Linked DNA regions of Sus scrofa. The main gene of each other region encodes a partner of the protein of the gene in region 2 in a complex. Links are inferred from orthologs where the notes say so. Each region holds a gene or a part of one and is shown on either strand. Other genes may lie near its edges.

Evidence for each region.
Region 1: TUBGCP3 (region 2) and NME7 share a complex: the UniProt entries of both Homo sapiens proteins name them as parts of the gamma-tubulin ring complex. The link is inferred for Sus scrofa from reciprocal best matches to the Homo sapiens genes TUBGCP3 and NME7.

What each region holds. Positions count from the first base shown.
Region 1 is NC_010446.5:81,691,801-81,695,621, reverse strand, and holds part of NME7 (nucleoside diphosphate kinase 7), read right to left. Parts: intron 1,003-3,821; coding exon 895-1,002; intron 1-894. UniProt on the Homo sapiens protein: Possesses an intrinsic kinase activity. Displays 3'-5' exonuclease activity with a preference for single-stranded DNA. Does not seem to have nucleoside diphosphate kinase activity.
Region 2 is NC_010453.5:78,214,945-78,218,765, forward strand, and holds part of TUBGCP3 (gamma-tubulin complex component 3), read right to left. Parts: intron 3,479-3,821; coding exon 3,353-3,478; intron 935-3,352; coding exon 866-934; intron 583-865; coding exon 450-582; intron 1-449. UniProt on the Homo sapiens protein: Component of the gamma-tubulin ring complex (gTuRC) which mediates microtubule nucleation.

The DNA.
Region 1 (3,821 bases), on a different chromosome or scaffold from region 2:
GTCTGGGAAAGGAGATCCCACATCAAGTACCTGCATGCCATGGCCAAAAGGAAAACAAATTTATCCATTTCCTAGTCTAATCCAGTAATAACATAAAAAGTACACATTTAATACTTTTAAAAACCTTGAATAGAACGATTTATGTATTGCCAAACCATTGCCACAAATTGGTAGCTATGAAATCTGAAGAATTCCAAATTTCTCCTTTCTTGCCCATACAAGATCCAAATTACCAAACAGATCCACCTGCAAAAGGGGTTGTCAATGAAGGGACATAAAGTGGGACTCTTTGAGTTCAATCTTCTTCTATTTGGCTTTTCGTAGAGATAACAGTAATGAACAGCACTCAACAACGGTAACATATTTATGATCATGATCATCTTTGTCTATAGCCACTTGCTGATTATTGCTTAGTCCAAAACATGAATAATCCCACTTCAGTTTTCTAACTAAAAAAATAACTTCAGAGTTCCCAATGTGGTGCAGCAGAAACGAATCCGACTAATAACCATGAGGTTGCCGGTTTGATCACTGGCTTCGCTCAGCGGGTTAAGGATCTGGCCTTGCTGTGAGCTGTGGCATAGGTCGCAGAGGCGACTCGGATCCCATGTTGCTGAGGCTGTGGTGTAGGCCGGCAGCTGTAGCTCTGATTGGACCCCTAGCCTGGAAACCTCCATATGCCATGGGTGTGGCCCTAAAAAAAAAAAAAGAAAAAGAAAAATAATAATTTCTATTAAAAATAAAGGTACAAAAGTATCTTCTTATATTGGAATTACAATATCAAAATAAAAAGGATGTATTTTTAAAAGTAACTACAAAAAAGGCAATCCTTTTCCTCTCCCTAGCCCACCTTCATCCTGTTACCCGCTTTTAAGTGAAGAAAGGTTCATTTACCATTTCAACAGATCCATCCCCTGGGTAAAATAAAAGCTCATAACGTCGAAATAGTGAAGCATTTGGATCATACCACTCTGCAATGAAAACGAATCTTTCACTGTGATTCTGCAAAGAGAAGAATTTTAACATGAACATATAAAATATAAGGACTCAAAGTCATACAAATTTAAAGAATCAGTAAATATTTGCAACAAATCTGTTACTACTTATTATATTGAATAATTCTTGTCATACTGAATAGAATTTCAACAATATTACCAGCTATCAAAACACTCAGAAATATTCCTTCTAATTTCTTTTTAAATATCCTTAGATATCTCAAAGATGACATATGAGCTGCTTAATACTTCATGGCCATCCAACCATCCTGAGTAAAATGACAGTTTTTTAGAACATCAACTCCTGATCTGACTACTGTGATAGTTCAGTCCTTCTGAAAGCAAGTTTACACATAGGCAGATGATCAATAAACTAGCATGGGAAAAAAAAATTTCTGAGAGGCTACCCCTAAATTACATGAAGTGTTAACTGACCTAACTTTAAGAATCCAGTCGTATTAGAATATTGTTGTCATTCAATTATAGTAAGTATCTTTTCTCTCCTTAGTAATTTCACATGATAGTATCTTTTACAGAAATAGAGGGAGAATGTGCTAGTCTAGATCCTCCAAGAAGCAGACAAGATGCCAAGATGGGATTAAACATGCAAGAATTTTATTCCTGTAAAAGAAATTCTGTATGGAAAGTTGCTGCAAGGGAAAATAGGGAGGGATCCAGGGGAAGCTGGCAGACCACCATACGAATCTGACCTTGAGGGAAGGAGAGAGAGAAGGAAGGCTGGGTGAAATCCTCCTGGATTGCTAGACAGTCCAAGGAAGGTTCAGTAAGACCATCGGGGAGTGCTCAAGCCAAGAGCCCTCAGATAGTTCCTTGACTCCACAGAGGAGAAGCCTGCTTTAGTAACTCTGCTCCTCTCAGTCACCGAGTGAGCCCTGGGGGAGCATGTGCTAGGTAGAAAAGCAGCAGTAGATTTCAGAGCACAGTAGCTGAGGACCTTTGGTCATTTTGCTACCTCTAGCTGAAGATATGTGAGGTACATACAATGAAAACATAAGTCAAAGATTGGCCCTCTTCCCTCGTCTAGTGAAGGATTTCCCATCCTATGTTATTAATAATATCTTAGCCCTCAAAGATCCCTCATCAAGATAAGCAAATGAAGACACAGGAAGAAAATCTAAGTGTTTTGTTGCTAATTCTGGATTTAGAATTCGATTCTCTGGTTAGGGTATATGAATGGATTCCTTTCATGTTAATAATACACTTACAAATTCTAATAGTAGTATATCTAGTTATATTTATGATATATACTCATCAGCTACAATGTAGGTAGTTTTTAAGACACTCTTTTATTTTTTTCTCATAATCATCCAAAAAGAAACATTTTTTCACTTTTTTTTATATATAATGTTTTTTGGGTTTTTTTAATTATAACTGGTTTGGGAATTTCCAAAATGACACATTTAAACAATGCTTATTAGTCAAGAGAAAATAAAAATGAGATATACTATGACAAGCCTTTCTTCATTTACTATTTTCATTGATCCTTATAAATACAGTTTTTTTATTTTTATTCTTTCAATACAGGTTTTCAAAATGTAGGTTTCACTGTGCATTTTAGTATTGTACTCCCCTTTTAATAAATTTAAATATTAGTAGTTCATTAAAATTTTACTATCTATATTAAAATTTTTTTAATGTTTCTCACATTATTCTCCATCATGTCCCATCACAAGTGACTAGATATAGTTCCCTGTGCAGGAACCCATCACTTATCCATTCTAAATATAATAGTTTGCATCTACTAACCCCAAACTCCCAGTCCATCCCACTCCCTCCCCCTTCCCCTTGGCAATCACAAGTCTGTATTCTATGTCCATGAGTTTGTTTCTCTTCTATGGAAAGATTCATTTGTGCCATATATTAGATTCCAGATATAAGTGATATGTGGTATTTGTCTTTCTGACTTACTTAGTATGAGAGTCTCTAGTTCTATCCATGTTGCTGCAGATGGCACTATTTTGCTCTTTTTTATGGAATTTGCTCAAAAATATCATTGAAATATTGCCTTCACTAAAATAAATAATATATGAGATGGATGAAATGGTGAGACATCTAAGCGAAGGTAAAAGGAGCTCCCATGGTGGCACAGTGGAAACAAATCCGACCAGGAACCATGAGGTTGCAGGTTCGATCCTTGGCCTTGCTCAGTGGGTTAAGGATCTGGCATTGCTGTGGCTCTGGTGTAGGCCAGTGACAACAGCTCCAATTAAATCCCTAGCCTGGGAACTTCCATATGCCGCGGGTGAGGTCTTAAAAAAGACAAAAGACAAAAATAATAATAATAAAAGGGCAAAGAGAGTGAAGCAAATGAAAAACCAATGAAATCTGGCACTTCCAGTTTTCCAGGCAGCTTAACCATAAAATCTGCCAATCACCCTTTAATTCTGAGGCAGACAGAAGAATTTCTCATGATTGGTTATCCAGAAAATAATATAAAGATGATAAACTGAGGAATTACTATTCTAGTTGACAATGTAGCTTATAGCAAATCAATGCTACTATCCAAGAACAACTAGAGAAGTGAGATATTTTTAAAAATCTGTTTGATGACCTTGGAGAGCATTTGAAGCAGCCAGATTTGATGATCTAGATTAAGAAAGACTAGATCTCACTGAGGTTAGCATGGCATTCGTCACGTTGCTTTTACATGAGACTCAAGCTGAATGAGAGACTGAGAAGCTCAAGAAGCTGGTAGAGGAAGGCTTCCAAAAGGCAGAGAAGCCAACAGAGCTTTTGACAAAGTCATAAGGATAAGTAGACAAAAGCTATAATTTGGTCCCACCAAAGAAGCCAGCACTTTAGGGG
Region 2 (3,821 bases):
GTAGAGACTCTTAGTGTCCCTGTGTTAACTGATGAGACAAGGAAGTATAAACAGTGAGGAAAATGTCAAGAAGGCAACTAGAGATACAGACAAAAAGACCAGAAGAGGCCCAACCCACGGGCAAAGACGGGAGGCTGTCGCACAGCTGGTGCCCCACGTGGACCGCACTCCGGAGGAGCGAAACCCCAGGAAAGGCTGCTCATTGAGATGAGACAAAGGAACACAAACCAACAGCCCTAACGAGGCCCAAAACTACCCCCCGCCCTCCTCCCTCAGCTCAGGAGATCCTGAGCCTCCACAGGCGTGAACGCTGGGCCCTGCCGGCAACAGGCATTTTCCCCGCAAGGTCACGTCTACTCATTTGCATTTAATCGGCACACTTCTGGCTGTTAAGCATACAAAAGAGCGGGCTACCCCCTAAAACCCGCTGTGAAGTAAGGCAGAAGGACCTTGGCAGTGGTCCACCAGGGCTGCTAAGGTCTTCAGCCTCATCTTGGGGTCATACGTCCAAACCAGGAGGCGCCGCAGCGTCAGGCTGCTCTCGAGGCCCAAATTCACCCCCTGGTCGTCCTCTAACTGCAGCTGAAAATCAGGAGAGAGAACGAGTAAGCGCAGGTCACCACATACGTTACCCCCTCACTCCGTGCAGACCCGGGGAAGGGATTATTCCCATAAAAACGCAACAGACATGCCCTCCGAGATGACAGCTCAGGCCGCAGGTGACCTGCTGGCGCCAGGCCACCCGGGACCCTCGCGGCCCGTCCTTGCACGTATCGCCGGGTCCTGCTCCCTAAAAGCGAGGGCGGAAGCATCCGCTCGCGCAGCGCGGGGGGCGCTGGGCAGCTCCACGCCGGCGGGTGCTCACCTGGGAGTGCAGGACGGAGAGCAGGCGGTAGTACTCCCTGAGCTCCTGGTGCAGCGCCGCGCAGAAGCTCTGCGGGGGAGGGGGGAGGAGGCGCGTGAAGGCCGGACCCGAGTCCCGCACCCTGCACGCTCGCAGCAACGCACGGGAGCCGCGCGGGGCGCGCCACGAGCCCGAGGTCGCGGGTCCCTCGGGATTGGACTCCGCTTCTGGCCTCGGTCTTCGGGCGGGGCCACCACCACGCCGCCGTCCGGAGGGAGGGCGGGGCGAGGAGGAATCGGGTTCCACACAGCGAAGGCGCGTTGCCTTCAGCGAGGGCTGCGGGGCCGCATCCTTGTAAATCAAGTCGAGGCGACCCGCAGCACTGGGCGGGTCAGTTCCCCGCGGGCAGCACAGCGATTTGCTTCTGCACATACACGCATGCACTGCGGCTTATTCTTTTGGATTCTTTGGCGTGATAGGTTATTAGGAGATGCTGGGCCCCAGTTCCCTGTGCTGCACAGGAGGTCCTTGTTGTTTACCTGTTTTATGTACAGTCATGTGACTCTATTAATCCCCAAATCCTAATCTAACTCCCCCCTCGTGTGGCAACCGTAAATTTGTTTTCTGTCTGCAGGGAACAGGTTTTATCCTCTGCAGGTTCTGCCTGTCACGGGCTTTCGTGGAAACCAAAGCTTCCCCCTGAATGTCTCTGTCCCGGCTTACACCCGGAGTTCACTCCAGAAAATTCCGGTCACCAGAGTGTGAAGCTCCTTCCTACAGCTCTTGATGTGAGACCTCGGAATTTAAGAATGGAAACGTACAAGGCAGTTTTCAATAAACTCTGGACGGTACACACTGAACAATAACAACAACAATAATAACAATAATAGAAGGAATTGATAGTTATCGGTTTTAAAATATTGCTAGAGGGAGTTCCCATCGTGGCTCATCAGAAACACATCTGACTAGTAATCATGAGGACACAGGTTTGATCCCTGGCCTCCCTCCGTGGGTTAAGGATCTGGCATTGCTGTGAGCTGAGGCAGAGGCCATCAGCTGTAGCTCCGAATCGACCCCCAGCCTGGGAACTTCCATATGCCACAGGTGTGGCCCTAAGAAGACAAAAACATAAAAAAATAAAACAATTTAAAATAAAAAACCTGCTGTATAGAACTGGGAACTATAACGAGTCCCTTACAACGGAGCAGGATGGAAGATAAGGTGAGAAAAAGAATGTATATGTGTATGTGTGACTGGGTCACTTTGCTTATAGCAGAAAATTGACAGAACATGTAAACCAGCTATCACGGGAAAAATAAAAATCATTAAAAATAAAACTGAAATAAAATACTGCTAGCGAAGAGCATTAAAGAAAATGACACTTTCACACTAAAAATTTGGAAGGGAGAGACACGGAAGCAACCTACATGCCCACAGACAGAGGATCGGCTCCAGATGTGCATAAACACACGGACGCTCTGGACACTACTCGGCCGCAGAAAGGAATGGAATAAGGTCTTCTGCAGCAACACGGATGGACTTAGAGGTTATTGCATTAAGGGAGGTCAGAGAAAGACACGTATCTCAGAATATCACCTACATGTGGACTCTGAAAAAGTACAAATGAACTTCTTTACAAAACAGAAGCAGACTTGTGACAGAAAACAAACACGGTCACCAAAGAGGAAATGCGGGGAGGGAGAAACGAGGGGTTGGGGTTAACAGGTGCACGCTGCCATGTATAAAACAGATAAACAGGGATTTACTGTACAGCTCAGGGAACGCTTGCAAGAAGCTATAATGGAAAGGAGAAAAAGAATATAGACACATACACACATGTGTGTAAACAAAACACACTCTTGCATATGTCACTATACACAAGAAACACACTATTATAAATCGACTCTACATCCGTGTTTAAAAAAATATTTAAAAGAATCAGGTCAAAGGGAAAATACATAAAAACATGTCAAGTGGAGTTCCCGTCGTGGCGCAGTGGTTAACAAATCCGACTAGGACCCATGAGGTTGCAGGTTCGGTCCCCGCCCTTGCTCAGTGGGTTAAGGATCCGGCGTTGTCATGAGCTGTGGTGTAGGTTGCAGACGCAGCTCGGATCCCACGTGGCTGTGGCTCTGGTGTAGGCCAGCGACTACAGCTCCGATTCCACCCCTAGCCTGGGAACCTCCATATGCCGCGGGAGCAGCCCAAGAAATAGCAAAAAGGCAAAAAACAAACAAACAAACAAAAAACATGTCAGGTGACTCATCCATGGTCACTGTCCCTGAGAGCTCATTAAGCAGTCCTTGAGCGGCTATATTTGACTCCGCCTGTCGGTGCATACTGTGCTTTCTGTTCTCTCGGGTGGACCGCGACTGACGCAAGTCTATCATCCAAACTTCTCTCCATGGAAAGATTCCCCCTTCAGAGCTACCTTCACCCTAACACTGAGCAGAACAAGCATTTCCCCCAGCGAAGGCGCCCCGGGTGCCCCAGCAACAAACCACATACCTGACCTACGAGTCCAAAGGACCGGTCCAGACTCCTCTGGTCCGTGTACTTTCTGATCTTATTGTGTAACCACCCCAACTCCGCAAGTCTGACCGCCGTGTCCCTAAGAGACTTACTCAGGTTTGCCTGAAAAGCGAACATACCAAGAGTTAAAAATTCAAAAAATGTTTCAACACAACTAATTATTCTTCTTCTCAACCACACGTACTTTTATATCTGTATTTCTTACGCTTCAACCCAGGAAACTTTAACTGGTATACCAGCACTAAAGTGAAGACACGAAGCCTCTAGGAGACAGCTTCAGGGAGCGGGCGGGGAGGTAAAACACAAGACCTGGGCGCCACTGTCCCCAGGAGCGCCCAGCCAGGGCGCCCGGCGTAGGGGGACTGCCTGGGACATCAGTCACCTGGTGACTCAGCCAAGAGAAGCAGAAGGATGCAGGGAAGCCAGGACTGTGGAAAGGCAAGGT